Linked DNA regions of Lepisosteus oculatus. The protein of the gene in region 2 purifies or fractionates together with the protein of the main gene of each other region. This does not show direct contact. Links are inferred from orthologs where the notes say so. Each region holds a gene or a part of one and is shown on either strand. Other genes may lie near its edges.

Region 1 (7,496 bases), on a different chromosome or scaffold from region 2:
CTGTTGCAGTGTGGGTGCTGTGTCAGTGTGTCACTGAGGTGACGTGACTGTGTGTCCTCAGAGTGTGGGAGCTGTGTCAGTGTGTCACTGAGGTGACGTGACTGTGTATCCTGTTACAGTGTGGGAGCTGTGTCAGTGTGTCACTGAGGTGGCGTGACTGTGTGTCCTGTTGCAGTGTGGGAGCTGTGTCAGTGTGTCACTGAGGTGGCGTGACTGTGTGTGCTGTTGCAGTGTGGGAGCTGTGTCAGTGTGTCACTGAGGTGGCGTGACTGTGTGTGCTGTTGCAGTGTGGGTGCTGTGTCAGTGTGTCACTGAGGTGACGTGACTCTGGGTCCCGTTGCAGTGTGGGAGCTGTGTCAGTGTGTCACTGAGGTGACGTGACTGTGTGTCCTGTTTCAGTGTGGGAGCTGTGTCAGTGTGTCACTGAGGTGACATGACTGTGTGTCCTGTTGCAGCGTGGGAGCTGTGTCAGTGTGTCACTGAGGTGACGTGACTGTGTGTCCCGTTGCAGTGTGGGAGCTGTGTCAGTGTGTCACTGAGGTGACGTGACTCTGGGTCCCGTCGCAGTGTGGGAGCTGTGTCAGTGTGTCACTGAGGTGACGTGACTCTGGGTCCCGTCGCAGTGTGGGAGCTGTGTCAGTGTGTCACTGAGGTGACGTGACTCTGGGTCCCGTCGCAGTGTGGGAGCTGTGTCAGTGTGTCACTGAGGTGACGTGACTGTGTGTCCTGTTGCAGTGTGGGTGCTGTGTCAGTGTGTCACTGAGGTGACGTGACTCTGGGTCCCGTCGCAGTGTGGGAGCTGTGTCAGTGTGTCACTGAGGTGACGTGACTCTGGGTCCTGTTACAGTGTGGGTGATGTGTCAGTGTGTCACTGAGGTGACGTGACTGTGTGTCCTGTTACAGTGTGGGTGCTGTGCTCGGACCCGGGCCTGTCCGCGGTGCTGCAGGAGTTCCTCTCTCCGGCTCGGACCCTGTCGCGCGCCGGGGCGCTGCACCTCCTGCGGCCAGCGGAGGGAGCCGCCCCCCCACCCGGCTGCGCCGTGGGCGTGGTCAACGCCCACTGTCAGGTGCACCTGCGCGTCCAGGTAACAGCCTCGGCCTCGGGTGCGAGCCCTAATCCGCCTCACCCCCCCGCTGGGTGGTGACCGCGCGTCTCTGTCTCCCAGGGCAGCGTGGACGTGCTGCAGCAGAGCGTCTCCCTGTCTCGGCGGAGGGAGAAGGTGGCGGCCCGCCTGGAGGAGGCCCTGGGCCGGTCCCGGGTCCGAGGGTACGAGCAGAGGGTGCCCGAGAGAGTGAGGGAGGAGCAGGCCCGCCGGGTGAGACACCTGACGCGCGGACTGGATTCACACTGACGCCATGACTCACCGACGCAGTGAACTACACACTGGCGGGGACCGGGAACGACACAGTGACTCTCTGACCGTATTGTGGCATAGGACACGCTGCGATTAATTAACACTGTTCTTGCTCACAGGCTGAGCTCTCACACGCTGGACAGGACAGCAGTCCATCACAGGACACACACTCACACACCCTGGACAGGACACCAGTCCATCACAGGACACACACACACACACTCACACACCCTGGACAGGACAGCAGTCCATCACAGGACACACACTCACACACCCTGGACAGGACACCAGTCCATCACAGGACACACACACACACACTCACACACCCTGGACAGGACACCAGCCCATCACAGGACACACACACACACACTCACACACCCTGGACAGGACACCAGTCCATCACAGGACACACACACACACTCACACACCCTGGACAGGACACCAGTCCATCACAGGACACACACACTCACACTCACACACCCTGGACAGGACAGCAGTCCATCACAGGACACACACACACACTCACACACCCTGGACAGGACACCAGTCCATCACAGGACACACACACAGACCCTGGACAGGACACCAGTCCATCACAGGACACACACACACACACACACCCTGGACAGGACACCAGTCCATCACAGGACACACACACTCACACACACCCTGGACAGGACACCAGTCCATCACAGGACACACACACACTCACACACCCTGGACAGGACACCAGTCCATCACAGGACACACACACAGACATTCACACATGCTGGACAGGACAGCAGTCCATCACAGGACACACACACACACTCACACACCCTGGACAGGACACCAGTCCATCACAGGACACACACACACTCACACACCCTGGACAGGACACCAGTCCATCACAGGACACACACACTCACACACCCTGGACAGGACACCAGTCCATCATAGGACACACACACACTCACACACCCTGGACAGGACAGCAGTCCATCACAGGACACACACACTCACACACCCTGGACAGGACACCAGTCCATCACAGGACACACACACACACACACACACACACACACACACACACACTCACACACCCTGGACAGGACACCAGTCCATCACAGGACACACACACTCACACACCCTGGACAGGACACCAGTCCATCATAGGACACACACACTCACACACCCTGGACAGGACACCAGTCCATCACAGGACACACACACACACCCTGGACAGGGCACCAGTCCATCACAGGACACACACACACTCACACACCCTGGACAGGACACCAGTCCATCACAGGACACAGACACACACTCACACACCCTGGACAGGACACCAGTCCATCACAGGACACACTGACCCTGCTCAGCAACGGGGATGAAATGCTCCTTTTTAACCCAGCCCACGACTCTCCTCCACAGGTGTCCGCCCTGCGAGTGGAGCTGCAGAGCATCGACGACCAGCTGGCGGCGCTGCGGCGCATCCAGACAGAGACGTAAAGAAATCTTGACGAGACGGCACAGTGTTTAGCCGCAGTACCCGGGTCCGACCACCAGGCGGCGAGAGAAATTCTCCCCCCGGGCGGCTGCAATACCGCAGCAGCCCACAAGAGGGAGACAGAGACTAAGGAACGGGGGGAGCGCTTTTCACAACAAGTGACCCTTCAGATAATTGAGACTCTCGTCTCGAAGGCCGAAGGATCTCTTGCTGTTGGGTTCTGACGGCGATTTGACGTCGAGAGATATTGATCGGAAGCGGACGTCCCCTTCAAAAGAAAAGTCTGTTTGTTGTCCTCCCAGCCTCCTGTACTGGTACTTGAAAATAAAACATTCACAAACCTGTATCGATTGGGGGCGCTCCTGGGGGAGGGGTACAGATGGCGCTGCAGGAAGGGCCCCCCGTTCTGGGAGGGGCTCCGGTCGGCCCCCCCCGTTCAGACCGTCACGGGCCGGGGTTAAGACTGGGGCTGGAGAGGAAACGTGCAGAGTACCGGGGTCTGGGGGTGGGCCGCCCAGAGCTAAGCCGTTTCTCCTGGCGCAGAGCGCCCAGCTGTGGGAAAGTCCAGTGAATTAACCCCCACCCCCGCCACCCTCTGTGTACAGAAGAGCCCCCCCCCCCTGTCCTGACTGGAGGAGCTCACCCAGCTGTGTCTGGAGAGGAGCCAGGGTATCGGCTTCAACCACAGGGCTGTGCAGCTTGTTCCCCACCCCCACCACCCTCTGTGTACAGAAGAGCCTCCTGTCCTGACTGGAGGAGCTCACCCAGCTGTGTCTGGAGAGAAGCCAGGGTATCGGCTTCAACCACAGGGCTGGGCAGCTTGTTCCCCACCCCCGCCACCCTCTGTGTACAGAAGAGCCCCCCCCTGTCCTGACTGGAGGAGCTCACCCAGCTGTGTCTGGAGAGAAGCCAGGGCATCGGCTTCAACCACAGGGCTGGGGCAGCTTGTTCCCCACCCCCACCCCCCTCTGTGTACAGAAGAGCCTCCTGTCCTGACTGGAGGAGCTCACCCAGCTGTGTCTGGAGAGAAGCCAGGGTATCAGCTTCAACCACAGGGCTGGGCAGCTTGTTCCCCACCCCCACCCCCCTCTGTGTACAGAAGAGCCCCCCTGTCCTGACTGGAAGAGCTCACCCAGCTGTGTCTGGAGAGGAGCCAGGGTATCGGCTTCAACCACAGGGCTGGGCAGCTTGTTCCCCACCCCCACCCCCCTCTGTGTATAGTCGCACGTCTCTGTGATGTTCCGCTCCAGTCCTCCGGTTTGTGTTGTTGGGAACAAGCTGGCTTTGCCAGGCTGATGGCGCCGATAACGCACTTTCGTGGAGTTCGAACGCAAATAATAATAATAATTGCTGACACTTATATAGCGCTTTTCTGGACACTCCACTCAAAGCGCTTTACAGGTATTGGGGATCCCCTCCACCCCCACCAGTGTGCACCTGCAAATGCAGCCTTTTCTCCCGCTACAATGTTAAACGTGAAATTCAAATGGCGTCGCATCTAACTAACGTCATAAAATGTTTTATTTTGTAATCGATGTGAAAATCAAGCTCCTAGCCGGAGCAGCTCTGTGTGCTGCTGAGCAGGAGGAGGAGGAGGAGGGGGGGCGTGTCCCAGTCCCTGCTCCTGTCCCCGCCTCCTCTGCCATCGCCCAATCACAGCAGGCCAACTCCCCCCTCGGCGGCTCTGACGCGCCGCGCTACAGTTGCTAGGGGAGACGCTCAGGAGGCCGGGGGGTTGCTGGGAGGAAGCGCTGGGGCCGCGGGGGGGGCGGGACTTCCCGTTCCAGGCAGTCCGGAAGTGGTGTTGTGGCGGAGAGGAGGGAGTGTGTGTGTGTGTTTGCGAGCGAGGCTGGGCGGCTGTGGAGTTCTGCTCTTTTTTTTTCCCTCCCCTCTCCACCCTCCCCTCCCGCTCCGGTACTTGAGTTCGTCTCTGTGGCCTAAACCGGGAGAGGGCAAGAGACGGTCGCCCTCTGGGTGGTAAAGACGTTCCCTCCTGCCCGTCGGGTCGCCGTCGGATGTTTTTTTTCTGCCGGAGAGTCAATGGCGGATCCCCGGTAGCCGTCGGGAAGCCGGAGAGAGCGGGAGATCGGACGGGGAGCGGGAGCAGGAGGGGGGCCGGCGGCGATGGGGAGGTGCTGACACGCGGGTAGCGGACCCGGAGAGTTGGACAGCGGAGACGGCGGCCGGACAGCAGCAGTGTGTCCCAGGTGCGATCGCTCGGTTCGGTGCGGTCCCGGGCAGCACGGACACGGGTGCGGAGTGTGTGTGTGGTCACCGTGTACTGTCTTGTGCCGCTGTGTGTGATACCCGGTGTACAGACACTGTACACACTCGCCTGTCCAGACTCTTACTGGACACACTGTAGAGACACACTCGCCTGTCCAGACTCTCACTGGACACACTGTACACACTCGCCTGTCCAGACTCTTACTGGACACACTGGACACACTCGCCTGTCCAGACTCTTACTGGACACACTGTACACACTCGCCTGTCCAGACTCTTACTGGACACACTGGACACACTCGCCTGTCCAGACTCTTACTGGACACACTGTACACACTCGCCTGTCCAGACTCTTACTGGACACACTGTACACACTCGCCTGTCCAGACTCTCATTGGACACACTGTACACACTCGCCTGTCCAGACTCTTACTGGACACACTGTACACACTCGCCTGTCCAGACTCTCATTGGACACACTGGACACACTCGCCTGTCCAGACTCTTACTGGACACACTGTACACACTCGCCTGTCCACACTCTCACTGGACACACTGTAGAGACACACCCACCTGTCCAGACTCTCACTGGACACACTGTAGAGACACACCCACCTGTCCAGACTCTCACTGGACACACTGTAGAGACACACCCACCTGTCCAGACTCTCACTGGACACACTGTAGAGACACACCCACCTGTCTAGACTCTCACTGGACACACTGTAGAGACACACTCGCCTGTCCAGACTCTCACTGGACACACTCGCCTGTCCAGACTCTCACTGGACACACTCGCCTGTCCAGACTCTCACTGGACACACTGTACACACTCGCCTGTCCAGACTCTCACTGGACACACTGTCCACACTCGCCTGTCCACACTCTCACTGGACACACTGTCCACACTCGCCTGTCCACACTCTCACTGGACACACTGTCCACACTCGCCTGTCCACACTCTCACTGGACACACTGTCCACACTCTCACTGGACACACTCACCTGTCCACACTCTCACTGGACACACTGTACAGAAACACCTGTCCAGACTCTTACTTGACACACTGTACACACTCACCTGTCTGGACATATTGGAGCAGCTGTTCAGTCTGGACACCAGGTGTCTATGTACAGGTATGAGTGTAGTGTCTCTAGTGCTGTTTTGTGTTACCTCAGGCTTTGTTCTGACTCTACAATGCAAATATTGACCCGGTCACGGATCACGGCTCACTGATCGTACCACACCTGTTCTGGCACTCTGATGCACTCGAAGTCTGACACACACACACACTCTCTCCAACACACTGTTATACACACTGTCACACTATCGTCTCGCAAACACACACACCCAACACACTCTTTCGCAGTAACACGGACACACACACGCAGGGTCCCATCGGCTGTATACGCTTTTTCCCACCGGTCTCAGTTTTCTCGTTATTGTGTTCTTAAAAAGGGAACTTAGTGAAGTTCTCGTGTTCCTTTTCTCTTTACCTGTTTGGAGAGAACTGGTTTATCCTGTCTGTCCTGTCTATACAGCACAGGAGCTGGACTGAGTGTCTCTCCAGTCCTGTACAGATCTGAGGAGGAGGAGTGTGAGGGTGAAGCTGGAGGTGATCAGGCTGAGTGTCTCTCCAGTCCTGTACAGATCTGAGGAGGAGGAGGAGTGTGAGGGTGAAGCTGGAGGTGATCAGACTGAGTGTCTCTCCAGTCCTGTACAGATCTGAGGAGGAGGAGGAGTGTGAGGGTGAAGCTGGAGGTGATCAGACTGAGTGTCTCTCCAGTCCTGTACAGATCTGAGGAGGAGGAGGAGTGTGAGGGTGAAGCTGGAGGTGATCAGACTGAGTGTCTCTCCAGTCGTGTACAGATCTGAGGAGGAGGAGTGTGAGGGTGAAGCTGGAGGTGATCAGACTGAGTGTCTCTCCAGTCCTGTACAGATCTGAGGAGGAGGAGTGTGAGGGTGAAGCTGGAGGTGATCAGACTGAGTGTCTCTCCAGTCGTGTACAGATCTGAGGAGGAGGAGGAGTGTGAGGGTGAGGTTGCAGTTGAGAAGGACGGAGTTTGAGGTTTTTCTGCAGCTGTTGCCTCGGTTTCAGAGTTCTTGCGCGTCTTGAAACGCAGCGGGATGTTTCTGATCCTGGCGCGGTAGGGTTTTTTCGGTGAAACCGCAGGTGTTTCCAAGCCGTTAAAAGGAACACCTGCGTCTGCCTGACGTGCATGATGAGATGCGATACCCTGCACGAGTCGGTTTTACAGCCTGCCGAGCTGGAAAGTTTCCCTTAAAACTGCGTTTGAGCCTGTCTGTGTTCCCGCTGTTTCATGTTTTCAGCCGCCCTGCGGTCCAGACAGAGAGCTGGGTGTTCTCTGACCAGCAGGTCCCATGGAGACTCGTTTTCTTGCCCAGAAAGCTGCAGTTCCTCTGCC
Region 2 (7,913 bases):
GCTCATTTTCAAAAGGAGTCAGGAGCTACTCCAAGTGTGATATATAGTATGACAGAGAAGGAGAAGTAAAAATGTGCCTTGTGGTTGAAAAGGAAGTCTGAACAGGTATTCTGGTAGAAATCTGTTCTTTCATTACAGGAATGTGCTTCCTGTACATTTACCAAACTACATTGGTCCTAAAATCTGGTTGGAAACAGGGGACACATTTTGCTGTAATTTCACTTTAAATCTTTTCCCAGTAATATTATCCTCTAGTTAGCCATCATAAGGGGGTAGTGTAAGACTGCCTGTTATTGGTTTCCATTACAGCTACATTTAAGCTGAAAGGGATCTCAGCTCATAACTGAAAGACTGTGATTGTTACACCGTCTCTCACTCTCAGACCAAACACTAGAAGTATTTAACAACAATTGCAGTGAGGGCTGGATATTCCACATTCCTCATTCCTTGCTTTTTGGGTTGTGGTGTTAAGGCAAGGCTGCAGGTACAGAGAGCTCCTACCACAACACATACTTTAGCTAATCGTGGCGTGTATCCATAGATGCTTATAAAGATTTTATTTAGCGTGATGGAAAGGCTAAAGTTGTGTAAGACTGAATGAAGAACTGTAATCAATAGATATTGAAAATGTAAACTAAAGACGGATAAAGAAACAACTGAAAATCAAGGCAGTCTTATTCCGATCAAGACTCTACATGCTGATGTTTGATGCAAGTCTTTGCTGAAATGAGGACGGTATTAAATGCATCCACAGCACAAAGACTTGGCACTTATTTTCAAAAGTACATTGTTTCATACAGTATGCCCATTACTGTTCTCCAATGTCAGCACATTCTGTTCTCTGATATTAAGAACAGAACGCAGAAAGAAATCTATACCAGAGGCTGTGAAACTGTGTAGTTCTTATAATAAAGGTGATAAAGCAGCTTTTTCTTGCTGGATGTACAGTGAGGAGATATACCCTTTCTTGAAAATCCTGCTATACTGTTCATGAATACATATTAAAGGGAACTGTTCTTGAAAGGAATAGACCAAACATAAACTTTGAAAGGGATGTGACCAAGGAGACTTTCAGAATGGATAAGAAAGAAAATAATGTGACTTATCCGGACTCATTATAAAGACTCGGAGCACTCTCCACGTCCTTTAAAACATTTTGGTTGCCAAATGAACTCAACTAAACTCTAAAGTTTTTGCTTGTGCTTAATACTGCAATAACTCCTGCCAGTTACAATCCCCCTCTATGAATTGGCTTCATTACTCTGCTCTCCTCCCCACTGATAGCTGATGTGTGGTGTGTGGTGAGCTAGTAGTTCTGGTGCACTATGGCTGCCGTCATATCATCCAGGTGGATGCTGCACATTGGTGGTGGTGGAGGGGAGTCCCCATTACCTGTAAAGCGCTTTGAGTGGATTGTCCAGAAAAAGCGCTATATAAGTGTAATTATCTGTAGACTTTTGTAGGATATTCCTTTGAGCCAGGGACTGATACAAGTTTAGCATAACATTCCTAGATCCCTAGATCCACAGTGTGTACTATTAACTCTTATATAGCTGTATCCTAATATTTTTATACTTACAATTTCTCTAAATTGTGTTGGACATAGAACTGATGTCTCCATAAATACTGCAGTCATTTTCACAAGTTACTCTTTCATTAGAGTTTTCTATCTTATGCTTAAATGGTGCACAGATAGTAAAAATACACTGTTTTTCTGCTACTCCTCCCCTTTTGAATTTGGCAAATTGCACTAGTTTACAACCTATACCACAATCTGAATCATTGGTGTACTGTATATTAGGATGAGCAATATGAATCCCTGTAGTACTGTGCTACTTACACTCCTTATTTGTACTCTCAGAGTGGAATAAACATTTACCTGCTCCTTTTCACCCTACACATGATGACGCAGCTACCTACTCAAACGTCTTTGTCTATAATTACTTGGTTCAGTTTTGCCACCTTTTTAAATAAAATTTCCATTTTGAAACATGAAAAGAAAAAAATCTTTAGCCACTATCGGAAGTATTTTGTTAATTGCCAAGTATTTTTGTTAAACACCATTAATTTCTAGAGATTTATTTTAAATTCATCCAGTACCTGTAACACGACTTGTCTCGTCTTTGTTTTGAAAGACGATGCTCTCTGCAGTCATGTTGCCAACATTTCCAATGACCAACTCTTTTTACACATACAGTAGATACACAAAATAGCGGCCAACTGTCCGTGACGGTTTATGGAGTTTATTTAATGAAAGTTCGGGAGGGATGACAACAACCTCGCTCAATCATTCCCAGCTGTCAGTGATTAGCAATCACTCCCTTCGTCCTTCCTCCACCAAACGCTGTAAATACAGTACCAAATGCGATATCTCCCTCCCTCGCATGCAACTTTTGCATCCCACCTCCACCCCAACTCCACCTCTGCAGCGACCCCTTGGTCACCCTGCGTGGGGGTCCTGGCCTCCTCGGCCTATGGCCAGGGGGTCGGCCCTCAGCCAAGTGTGTTAAGCCAAACACTCGCTCCACAATAGTTAATTACGCTTTGATTTGGGGCGCTTTTTCATTCCTCGTGAACCAGTCATTGTATTCTTCTGTTCCAGGTGCAGGTGGATCTAGAGGACTCAATCCCCCAAAGTGAAATATTATTTCAGTTTGGTTAGATTTCAGAATATGATAGAGGAACGAAATATGTTGACCATATTTTGAGTGAAATATTATTTCAGTTAGGTTAGATTGCAGAATATGATAGAGGAACGAAATATGTTGACCATATTTTGAGTGACTCGTCTAGCTGAGGGTGTGCCAGCCCAGCCATGAGATTAAGGCTTGCCTAAACTTCCCTTGACTATTGTGAGAACTACGCTTAAGAGTTCCTGCAAGGATGCAGGTAGGGTGGTGGGAGGGGTGTGAGTGAGATTTGAGATGTGACATTTGGGATGCGCGATTTATATACACACTGCAGGCAAGTGGAAATGTGCGAAATTAGGATTTAACCTGCAGGACTTCATTTAATATAAATCTTTGTTTTTGTTTTTTTCATTTTGCTGTCAGTTTTTGAGTTAAATATTCATCTAATAAATTCACCATGCCCTTGCATCATCTAAGCATTTTCTATTCCTATCCCTCAGACACTTCATTTACTTTTCCTTTCCTGCTGTAATACTTAAAAAGTTTGTTTTAGCTCCCATTGTATTATATTCCTGCTTTTTCCTGTATTCTGGAGAATTTAAATTTTATAAATGGCTTTCTTCTTATATCTTTCTTATTTATATATTAAAGAAGCTGGACTACAGCTTTATTAGCTTTAGATTTACTCATTTATCTTGTCCAGTCCACTTGAAAACCACAATAATTCAAAGTTTTGATGTAGGCCAAGATTGGGATTTAGTACAGTTTCCAAATATATTTGAAAACACCATATGATGATCACAGTTTTCTAATGAGTCTGTCACCTGTGTGGTACTTATTTTTATCTAGAAAAGACCAGATCAATGCTGATATTTCCCCTAATAGGTGCTCTTTCATGGCTATTAACCATGTGTATTTTCAGTTTCTGACTCAAATTAAATCCCCCATGATAACAGCTTTTACTTACAAACATGCTAATGATTTAATTATATGGGTTTAATTATAATTGATATCTGAAATATGCACAAAAGTAGCTTACCCTATTAAACATTAGATCTTTGCAACATTACAATTAAACAATATTTTATGTAACTTCCAAAGCTTTTACAGGCACAGTACCCAGACTGGTTGATTCTATCGGAATTGAATTCTATTGAAATTGGAATGAAACAGTATAGGGACTGTAAATATTTACATATTGAGTAAATACACGAGTGCAATACTGCAATCATATGTGACAGCTTAGTCACGCTCTGCATATAACTAGTTGCTTGCTTTTCAAACCTTGCAATTGCTAAAACAATGATATCTTCACACTGTGGTAATTCAACAGTAAACATCTACAGTCTGGATGCTGACATCTCCTTCCCAAGACTTATTGCAAATAGAGGCAACACAAGAAAGGTACTGTACACCAGAATTTTTTTTACTGTACTGATATATATTAAAACCATCGGATGCCTATGTAAGACAATAGTAGATCATGATAAGTTATTCTGCTCAGTGCTTTCAGACTCATCTAATAGTCTCATAAATAATGGCAGAAGTTATTCTGTTCTTTATAATAACAATTCATGGCTCACACTGCAAGAAACCTTTTGACCATGCTTTTGTTTTTATTAAACATACATAAAAAATTAAAAAAGTAAATAACATTTTTATTCTCAAGAAGATGCCTTCTTTGTTTTAGAATTCTTCATTAATGAAACAACATGAATCCGTTTCAACACTAGTTCTAATTTGTCATTCCCCTTCAAGCATATACGAGAGTAACTACATCACTAATAAAATATGGGTTGTTTTGATATCAGTTCCAGTGAGAATACAGTAAGTCTGCAGAAAACAACCACAAACAAAAAGAACCTTAATCTGCTGTCCGACCAGCAATATGAATAAGCACATTGAATGGGTATTGTATTTAAAGAATGTAGCGAGGGGAGAATAGTTCACATTTTTTTTTATTTGACTAAGACTGGCTTGGAAGAGCATTAGTCATTGAAGACCGAACAAAATAGTTGTAGGGTCTCATTTCATAATCTAGGTGAAGTTTTGCAGACCTTTCAGTTTTATGGAACAGAGAAGAAGCATAAAGCTTCCTCTGAGCCAATCACATGAGAGTGAGGAAGAAAGGGAGAGAGAATACTTGTTGGAGATTAGATATACAGAAGTATAAGATTCAGTAAAGGGACAAAAACGGTCTCAGAAGGACCCAGAATTCCATCCTAAATTCATTGGAGGGCACCTTTCTTCATCACATTTGGTCTTCTTTTGCCCCAAAACCTTCATATCAATGGCTTTACTACAGGTGGTTTTCCCATTTTTTCTGTGGTTTCTTGTTTCTTTGGACATGTACAGTGGTGAGCAGTCCTCTAGAAAAGAGGTTTTTGTGAAGGTGGTGGACCTGTTGTCAACCGGAGAAGCCTACTTGAACGAGAATGCTGTTCACTCCTTTTTAAATATCTTGAAGAAACGTGTGCAATGCTCTGATGTGTCGTGTGAAAAGGTAAACTATTTTTACTCACTTCAGCTCCTTCTAGTCGGTTGCAGAGAGGTCGAGGTCCAAATCGCCAGCCAGCTTCTTTGCCTCGAAGGGTAGATAGTGCACACTTCAGAACAGATTTTTAAAGACTTCTGCTTACAATAACCTGACATTTTTATAGAAAATCCCTTGCAACCAGTCATTCCAAACAGTGAGACTTTAAGCCATCTCTTAACAGTCAGATCCTATAGCAACATCTTGAAATGTTGTGAGAAAAAAAACTGTGCTAAGCCCAAAACATGGTATATTTTTTAAATAAAACTACCGTACTTTTTTAAATATTGCCGAAGAAGCCTGAGTTTCCATTGTATTCTATAAAGAAAAGAAAACATTTTAAAAAATGAAGAAAGACTGCATATTGAAGGCTGTTGAATTTGTGAAAATGATAAAAATGGACAAAATATTCCTAATTTTTTATTAAACACTCTTCTATTACTGCTTTGGATTGATGTTGCTAAGTACTGTATGTATCCTCTGCATTGAAACATAAATGTATTTTAATTATGTATTAAACCTAAAAATGTAATTGGGGAAAAAAATCCCTCCATTTTATAGAACTTTGTATATTTTTGTTTTCCTAATTTTAAACAGGAGTATGTTATATATTATTGTGTTATACGTATTGAGACTGATGTTACATTATAAATACAGTTAGGTGAAAATTTGTGAGGACAAACTATTAGTTAAAATGTTTTCAATGTTAAAATTAACACTTAAACCACAGTCTTAATTTTCCATGAAAGGTGTGCTAGATATCTTAGATATCTACAGTAGTATCTTGTTGCAAAATGAAAAATGTGAACGTCAGAGGTTGATACCCATGATGAACTGGCATACTGCACTGGTGTACTTTCTCATACCTAATACTTCACTTTATACAAAAATGGATTACTAACCTCTTAAAACAAGATCCACTACTGTGACTTCATGTCTGACATCTTAAATGATCATGAATAATAATCAATATCATACACTCTTTCACTCATGCTCAGTTTTGCTCTCAGTGTGGTATTCATCTCCAGTTGCTCTGATCAAACACATGATCATTTTAGTTAACACACAATTTCACAATAAGATGGCTAAAGTTTTTTTTAACCTGACTTTAAAGGCATCCACAAAGAATAGCTGTAGGAAATATGTAGGAAAGAGATGATGTTTACAAACATTGAAACATGATTCAGAAAGTATGGAGACAGTAAGATTCATTGGATCAAACATCCAGATATATCCAGACTGTTCTATTTTCCTCATATTTTGTTCCCCCTGCTATTTGGGTCATTGTAGAGTTAACCAAAATCCTTTTTGGGTTTGAATAATATATAATATTGGCAGAATAATATTTAACTAAAGAATTGACTTTATAATTCCTTCCCAGCCGGACTACAAAACATTAGCTAAAAATTACCCTAGACTGGCCATGAACTCCAATGCAGGTATGAAGTATGTATTGATTTTACGTAATCAGAAAAGCATTGTTTGGACAGTCCAGGATATAGCAATTTGTCAATACTCCCACATCCAGGCAACTAATGAACATTTTATTTCTCATACTACTGAATGGCTTGACTGCTCAGTGAATGGAATACTGACAAATATGGAGGCACTTCACTTACTGTGGAGCTCAAATCATGAATATTATTACAAAAAAAACGTTTTTCATATTTAAAAATACAAAAAAATAGAAATAAGCAATTATCTTTCTTAAACATGCCTATTGGGGGTTACAATTGGAGAGCTGATATTGAATTTCATCTACTGTATAGTGATAGTAAATAACCATATGAAATGTAGTAAAGTGCTTAATGATTTGTCCAAGGTAGGAGAATAGCAACCTGAAAATAGTGATTTAATGCTATTTTTTTCCCCAATTGTTTTATTTCTGTTTGCCTCCAGTGTCTTTCTCCTGCTGATCTGGCTCAGCTTTATCCTGGCTTTTCAACAGCCAGTAGATTGGACAGTGAAGGGTTTTTCAAGGTCGCGCCTGGGTTGTGCTTCTACATGAGCGATCCAGCTGAAGCGTGTGCTGCTGTGAAGGAAAACCAGTGGCAGAGGGAAACCGAGGCGTTCGTGCAGGGCATTAAAGCTAAAGGCAACCAAGGAGATGGTTTTGACCTCAGTCCTGTTGAGTTAGATCACATGCTCCATAAAATTGAAAGGCATTGCCTTGCAATGGGCAAAGATCAGGTAAGTACAGTGCTGATTCAGTGCATTACACAGAAAACTTCCAGCTAAAGGCCTTGAACTGCCTGCAGCATTCCGCTGAGAACTACTGTATGCACGTTCTCTAGATTTGTGCGTTACCTGTACTGTATGTGTGATTTGATTTGCTTATATTGCAACAACAGGCTTATCCATACCCTGAATATTTTTAATCTGTCCTCCCTAACTACTCAGCTGTGGTTTCTCCCTCAAGCCATGTTCTGCTTATATATTTGGTTGTATAAAACATGAACGTAACAAATGAAGTAGGCATGTTGGCGGCAGGATTGAGCTCTCAAGGTACTCTCCAGATACAACAATGTGCACACAGGGGAAAAGGTTTGAAAATGTCTTTACTGAAGACCGAATGTATTTCTTTGCTGGAACCTGTATTATTTAAACACCTTGTCTAAGGTAACACATCTGAATGGCTTGTCTTTTTAATATGGATCTCGTCCAAGAGAAGGAGAAAGCCTTCTCAGAAGTATTGTTTTCACATAAATGTGACGATGAGTCCAAATTACAAACTGGGAGAATTAAAGGTC
Region 3 (7,224 bases), on a different chromosome or scaffold from region 2:
TCTTAGGCCATTAAATTGATTTCTCTTAGAAGAAGAACCAGCTGTTTCTATGGAGTTGGAAAACGTTTATCCTTGGACTCTTTCAAACAGGAAGTCTGAAAGCAACAAGTCATCTGAAACTGGACACTATAAATACCTGAGATTCTCCTCAGCAGAGCACTGAGGACACCTCTCTGAGGAGGACAGCACACAGCACATCGCACCAGGACACTGACAGCTCAGGTGAGAACAGCGCCACACTCATGGGCATCCAGCTGTGTGCCAATCCAGCAAGGCCAAGAAGGAACTGCTGCTCCACAGCTCTCAGATCTCATCTGCACTTGAAACCTAACTCCTCATCACATTCAAGCTAAGAAATGTTTCTTGATTTTTTTCTTGCTCAATCAAACGTCTCCTGTTTTTGTTCCGTAACTTGCTTAGAAGAATTTAACAGGAGAGGGGTTTGTATTTTATTTGCAGCCATAAAATAGTTTCTTTAAATTTAGGAAAAAAGTTTCAGCCCCAGTTTTTTCTTATGTGGAGACAGCATCTCTAAAAGCTGAAACTACAGGCACAGTGCAGCCTCTCCACTATGCCCAGATTTAGGATGATGGGTTCATGTCTGTTATAAATAAATCAAGGACGTTTAACATTCCAATAGGCCAGCGGACAACAAAGGTTTAGAAATGGGGTGGCTGGTTTGGAGATTTACTGTTGCAGGGTTAGCTAATTTGTTAGTGACTGGTACAAAAGCAGCTCTTATTATTATATCACTGCTGAAAAAGTAATTATATTCCTGCTTTAAAAGCTGTCCTCTGATTCAGTTATTGCTGACAGGTCTCTTGTGTGTCACACACTTTGACTTCAGTGCCTGTGTCTCTCGCACACTGCAGGGCACCAGAATGTTGCACAGCAAGGTGATTGGCTGCCTGCTGGGGGTGTGTGTGCTGGCCATGCTGGCTAAGCAGACGGAAGGCTTCCTCAGCTTCATCAGCCCTAGTGACATGAGGAGGATGATGGTAAGGTCCGGAGTAGAGAGAGGGAGACAGACTGAGAGTCTCCCCTCTGTGCCATACAAGTTGTTGTGTTGTACTACATACAGGAAGAACTTTGTGTATGAATGAGTGTTTGTGATGCATTTATCTTTATATGCATAGGCTGGATGTGTTGGAGGCATCTATGTTAGGATAAACACAACAATGAATTTGTTTAAAAGTATTTTGACATTTACTATGTTTTTACAAACTGGAGCTGAATCACACTTCAGTATGTCCATAAAATCTAAAATGGCTCTAAAATGCTTTGGCAATACTTGTAATTTATTCCAGCCAAAAAAGGTCTTCTGAATTCAAATCGGAACTCAAGAGAGAAAAGCTAGGAAAGAAACAAATATGTAATTCACAAAAGAATGCTCAACCAGAAAACCACAGGAGATCAACTGTTTACCTTTTCTTCCATTCAGCTCCTGAGTCCCTCTTAACTCATCTGCAGGTCTTTGTGGATATGTGTATCTCAGTGCGCCTGTGGAGGCTCACCTGAGTTTCAAGTCTGGGGTCTTGAGAGTCTTCGGGTCTGAGAGAGACAAACAGACAAACCAGAGCAGCCCAGTTCAGAAACACTGCTCTGCCTCCCAGTACAAGCAGGGTTCTCACCAGCTGAATACAGCAGTCTTCCTCATCAAGGATCTGTTCCTGCAGTGCTTTTGTTACCATGAGCCCCTGCTCAATCCAGTTACCATTAACACAACTCAAGTCAAAACACTGACAGAGATGCATGAAGGAAATCTCCTGCTCACCTATTTTCCCCTTTTAACACCTGCTGTGTCACACGCCCTCCTCAACAGGAGCAGGAGAAAGTGAAGGCAGGCAAGAAATCCGTGGACTTAGAGCCGAGATCTGAGGAGAGGGAGTTCGGGAAGTTGGCCAGCACGGAGTGGAATGTCAAGGATGACGCAGTCCAGGTAGGATGAGCCCCAGTCTGGCCGTACCAGGGGTCAGGAAGCCTAGGATCTTGCAGGCCATACTAATCATGGGGGTTCTAACTCAAATAATTGATTGACACTAAGTTGTTTAATTGGCCTTTCTGCTGCAGAATGTTTACATAATTAATGTTTATTTGGAAAACATGACCCGCAATGGAATGAAGGAGGTTGCTTTGCCTACACCAGTTATATGCTGAGCAGAAAGACAGGCCATCACCGGTGAGGTAACACAGAGATGATAAGGTAACTCACTTGAAATGTGATGAAAGAGATAAGGTGCATTCCATGAAGTTCTCAGGAAAGAGATGGAGCTTGGGATTAAACGAGGTCTCTTTTTATGGAATTAACTAGATGAGAGATAATACTCTATTAATCCCGTAGGGAAATTGATGACTTGATAAACTATTCATATTAAGTCTCAGTACAGGAATCCATTCTAACACATGAAGCTTTAGTGGGGTAAAGTCAGCTGTCTACTGCTCCTCTTTGTCCACTTGCCCACGCCTCTCCCTGTCTGTGCCTGCAGGAGCCCCTGGAGATCGGGGTGCGGCTGACCCACCAGCGGCTGAACAAGCTCGCTCCTGCCCTGGGGGAGATCCTCCAGGAAATGCTGGAGGAGGGACAGCAAGGTGAGGCAAGGCAGGCTGGCATACACTGGTCTAACACAGGTCTTTCCATATGCAGCCTGCCAACAGCACAGTCTATGAAAACAGCAGAAGAACCGTTAACTGACATGCAATTACTATACTAATAAATCTGTACAGTATATCCATAACACCTAAAAGTTATATAATCGTAAAAACAACAATAATAAACAATGTTATTTTATACATTGCCTTTAAAGGTTGTATAGTACTTTAAAGTAAGAAAAAATTACAAGAGGAGTTAACAGAATTAGCACAATTAAAAATAAGGGTTTGAATGCAGTAGAAGATACAAGGGGTAGACACAGACACCAATTAAATAAAAGCTTTTCATAATACTTTGCAAATACTTTTATGACAAATTTACAAAATCACATTGCTCTACTCATCCGTCCGTGTTCTTCTGCTTTTCAGTGGCCGAGTGAGGAGACGCCCAGCAGCTCTGATTTAAAGCAACTGGAAGTCGTTCTAATATTCCTAAAGCATGTCCACAGATACACTTTACCTCTTTACCATGCTTAATAAAACTGAATTGACCATTTAAAAGATTCCTTTCTCATGTTATTCTTTATTAAAGCAATACATCATTTCTGCACTGAATAAGTGTGTGAAGGACCATCTATATGGTACGGCATACATACCAAGAAATACATACCATTTAAGAAAATGGTGTGAGCTCAGTAACCTGGATCAGCAGTCTGAAAGAGTTTACATGTGAACTTGGAAAACTGATTACTGTGGTGAGACAGGGTATAAGCAGAGTAAAGTGTATAATGTAAAGTGTCTATGAACCTGTGGTAAAGGCTCAAATTAAATCATGACAGAGTTTTTTCAAGGTATACAACGTTTACAAGAATTGTAAATAGGTAAACTAAAAAAAAAAATTAAATTCCAAATATAATTTTCTCAGACCCACCAGTACATCTGCTGAGCCTTGCAGGCTTTTATAGGTGTGTAACTCCCCACAAAGTACATCAGCATTGTACAAAGATTAGGAGAGTCATAGATGAATGCTCCAAAGCTTCCAAAACTCGGTGAAAATATTACATTGTAAATAAACAAGAAGAATAAACTTTATTCCCTTCCTGATTATTGTGACTTGGCCTGTCCAGCGTCTGGGACAGATGGCTCAAGGTAGTCAGGTGGTGGCAGGACCCCAGGCACTGCAGTCAGGGTCCAACTGCTGTCTCGACAACAGGAGAAGCTGAGTGTTAGAGGCTGTAAAACTACTGGAATACCGACTGTATCTTCTTTCTCACAGAAATTGTAATAAGTACAAGTAATACATCCACATTCATAAAACAAGAATTTAAAACAAGACATAAACCCTCAATGTGAAATCAATGTTTTTATATTATTAAAACTTTATTGATACATCAAGAATGTACACGGCTATGTTTAAAATAAAAAAAACACTGAAATGTAGTGACAAAACGAATTTACATGAGAAATGTTTTTTTAATCAGCAACTGAACAGAGGCTCCATGCCTCTGCCTCTTGCGCACGGTTGTGTCCTTTCCAACATGGCGTCCCAGAACGCCCACCTCGGTGTGTTAAAACACACTTCCGCCCAGGACACTAAACATGGCCGCCTTCTCGGACGAGCTGCTCCGTAGGGAGCTGAAGTCCTTCGGTTATAGCCCGGGTCCCATATCCGATTACACAAGGAAACTGTACCAGAAAAAACTCCAGAAGCTACAGGCCACCGTTGACTACAACCGAGTGCATCTCCTCAGAGGCCAGTCTTACATCCACTCCCGACACCGGCACAGCAGCGGCAGCCCCCGGCACCGCCAGCGGACAGCCAGCTTCCACCGGGACAGCGAAGACTCGGACGACGACGACGACGACGACGACGATGAAGATGACTACGGGAGCAGGGTTCGCGATACTCGGGAGGACAGCCGGAACCGGCGGCTGTCCGACAGCACGAACTTTTCCTTCTTCAGAAGGGTGGACGCGCAGAGGCTGTATGACGGCTCCACCCGGCGAAATCGCTTCTGCGAGCGGCAGCTGTCCCGGGTTCTGCTGGCTTGCACCGTAATCCTCAGCCTGATTCTCATCTGGCTGGTTTATATGAAGACTGTGAGTCTGGGCCAGGCCGAGAACGCCAACAGCAACAGTGAGCAAATTCGCTTTTCTTCTTTCGTTTAATGAGTTGCTCTGGATTGAGAAACCCGCCCTTCACATCCGCATGCCTTGTCCCTGTCAGAGCGCCAAGGCTTATTAGTAACCCAGCTGCCCGGACCCTCGACTGCCGCTGTCTCAGTAAATACCCGCTTCACCCGCTTTCTGTTAAAGTTACTGCCCAGTTTGCTGTTGCTGTGGAAATTAACGCCTCTCTCCCCTTTTCCCAGTTCAAGGGCTGAGCGTGGACTGCGATGGGAAGACCGACACAGTAAGGCGAAAGTTGATTTTCAGTTTCCCAAAGTGATTTAGCGGCGAACGGCCCGGTCACAACAAGAGTAACAAGAGGGCAGTGGAGATTAGAAACTGTTGGGTTGACAAGTTCCGATGCAGGCTTTAATTGGGAGGAAAGAGAGTAGCAGCCAGTGAGGCAGAGTCGATGCTTTTCTGTCAAGAGCTTTGTGGCTGTGAAGTATTTCCAGACTTTTTTTCCAAACTCATGAGTTTGATGCGAGTACTGTTCTAGTGCTGGCTATGAAAAGGCGTGCTTTGCTTGTGGAATGTCTTGCAGCTGGCTGCTGACAGTGAGCAAACTCCAGCACCGGGAGGGCAGACAGGTGTATCTCCAGGCAGGGTGAGGGGGGTGGGACAGCAGCAGGTTCCCACACTTGTGGCTCCGTCTCCCGGTACACGTCAACACTTGCTACAGAGACCCACCTCCTTCAAACAGTATAGAGGAAACTGCAACCACAGTTAAACACGGGGATAATGATAGTAATGCAGTATTGAAAACAGTTCTGATGGGTACTGGGTCTTTGAGTGGAGGACAAGCACCATAGTTTGTGTAACACCTGTCTCTCTGTCTGCCCCTCTGTCCTCCTCCTTCCCCAGTACTGCAGGGCTCAGGAGCAGAGGGTGCAGCTGCAGTTGTTGTCAGAGCTGTACAGCTTCCTGGCGAAGGTGGCAGGTGAAGTGTCGGCCAGAGGGGAGGAGGGGGCGTGGGGTGAGCGTGTCGTGTGGAACAAAGATGTTGAGCCTTTGTGTCAATATAGCCCTCCTATAATAACCTGCTCCTAACCATATGTTGCAAACCAGTGGGTCGAATGAATCAGTGCGCCACACTGCTATTGTTAAATTTATTTGAAAAATACTCTGCATGGCATTCAGTTGTAAATACACCATTTATTCATAACTGGCCAGTATTGCTTAGCACTGTGCATTAGCGAAAGAGAAATCCAGCTCCAGGTAGTCTAAAAGATCTGCATACCACATTAACCCCCGTCTCCACCAATGTACGCAGAATACACCTTGATACAGAATTTCAGAATGGCTTTCACAAAGGTTGTGGGTACTTCCTGTGTTCTCTAAGACAGCTGAATAAGCACAGAGCTTTCTAATGTGTCACAGTCTTGCAAAACTCTGGAAACATTAAATCATACAAATATCACTGAATCACTAAGAGTTATGTGCTCAAACAAATAACAGAACAGCTAAATTAACGCAGTCCTAGTTAAATGACTTAATTTATGGAGTCATTTTTAAGTGAAATCACAGATTTGTTTTATTCATGAACGAAAGATCAAGCATTTCAAAACGTTTTACTAAAATGGGTCCTTCACTTGCTAGCTGTAGTCTTGAAACCAGAAGAGATTCTTGCATGCAAAAATTGTATAAGCAATTGGGCAACATACTGTATTACTCTCTCTCTCTCTTCTTGTTTAGGTGACTTCGAATGTGGGAACCCATCCAAACTGACGAATGCATGTGTTCCCATCGAAGACGTGAGGACTTACTTGGTGGTGAGCCTTTCCTCCCTGTGATGCTGGTTACACACTCGGAGACTGGAACACTGAACGTGGTGCCCTCGTGTCTGAGGAACTGGGCTCTGCAGCAGTGTGCCCACTTCCTCTCACTGCAGCTCAGCTCTGTCTCTTTAATGACCCGATAACTTCATTCATTTGAATTCTTTGTTTTTTTCTACCTGCTAAGATCTTAAAAAATGGAAAGTTGAGCATGAAAGTGTGAAATAAACTGAAAACGATGAACAGTTCTGAATTATGAAAACAGGTGAGGATTTCCATGCAGCAAACTGAGGGGCTGCTGCAGAGTTTCCATGGGAGCTGCCTGTTTATCCCTCACACTCCACTCTGACCCTGTTGATCTTAAAACATGTCACGACCAGCAAGGGTCTGTGCCCCCAGCATTGATACTTTTGACAGTCTGCAGACTTAAGCTTAAATTTTCCAAGGTATCACTTCTCAAACTGCTGAATCTAGGGAATTGAGACTTTTAAAATGCAGCTGTATGGCAGGATTGTCATAGGACAGGAGCTGTGTAGATCAGTTCAACATGCACTTAAGAGATCTGTGTTCACCTGCTCTGACTGCAGTGGACGTGTCCTGTCTTTATTTCTCTGTAATTAAGTTATCTGCCCATGCCAGGAACTGAACTGAAATCTCTTCAGCAGATTTTAAACAAAGACTATGCAAGCAA

What was found.
Region 1: the proteins of slc39a4 (region 2) and mgat1b purify together in Homo sapiens (affinity purification with mass spectrometry; 3 studies listed by BioGRID and IntAct, with this or other methods). This does not show direct contact. The link is inferred for Lepisosteus oculatus from reciprocal best matches to the Homo sapiens genes SLC39A4 and MGAT1.
Region 3: the proteins of slc39a4 (region 2) and LEM domain-containing protein 2 purify together in Homo sapiens (affinity purification with mass spectrometry; 3 studies listed by BioGRID and IntAct, counting the BioPlex papers as one, with this or other methods). This does not show direct contact. The link is inferred for Lepisosteus oculatus from reciprocal best matches to the Homo sapiens genes SLC39A4 and LEMD2.

Annotation. Positions count from the first base shown.
Region 1 is NC_090709.1:41,048,599-41,056,094, reverse strand, and holds the start of mgat1b (alpha-1,3-mannosyl-glycoprotein 2-beta-N-acetylglucosaminyltransferase b), read left to right. Parts: upstream 1-4,454; 5' UTR 4,455-5,051; intron 5,052-7,496. Other genes in the region: vars2 (valine--tRNA ligase, mitochondrial), read left to right, coding at 904-1,085, 1,167-1,316, 2,769-2,846. UniProt on the Homo sapiens protein: Initiates complex N-linked carbohydrate formation. Essential for the conversion of high-mannose to hybrid and complex N-glycans.
Region 2 is NC_090705.1:33,283,276-33,291,188, reverse strand, and holds the start of slc39a4 (zinc transporter ZIP4), read left to right. Parts: upstream 1-4,635; 5' UTR 4,636-4,920; coding exon 4,921-5,133; intron 5,134-5,152; exon of another isoform or gene 5,153-5,214; intron 5,215-7,062; coding exon 7,063-7,353; intron 7,354-7,913. UniProt on the Homo sapiens protein: Selective transporter that mediates the uptake of Zn(2+). Plays an essential role for dietary zinc uptake from small intestine. The Zn(2+) uniporter activity is regulated by zinc availability.
Region 3 is NC_090700.1:40,714,703-40,721,926, forward strand, and holds the start of LEM domain-containing protein 2, read left to right. Parts: upstream 1-4,182; 5' UTR 4,183-4,188; coding exon 4,189-4,726; exon of another isoform or gene 4,727-4,961; coding exon 4,962-5,002; exon of another isoform or gene 5,003-5,472; intron 5,473-5,622; coding exon 5,623-5,734; intron 5,735-6,453; coding exon 6,454-6,530; exon of another isoform or gene 6,531-6,722; intron 6,723-7,198; coding exon 7,199-7,224. Other genes in the region: mlnl (motilin-like), read left to right, coding at 882-998, 1,823-1,939, 2,487-2,589, 3,019-3,029. UniProt on the Homo sapiens protein: Nuclear lamina-associated inner nuclear membrane protein that is involved in nuclear structure organization, maintenance of nuclear envelope (NE) integrity and NE reformation after mitosis.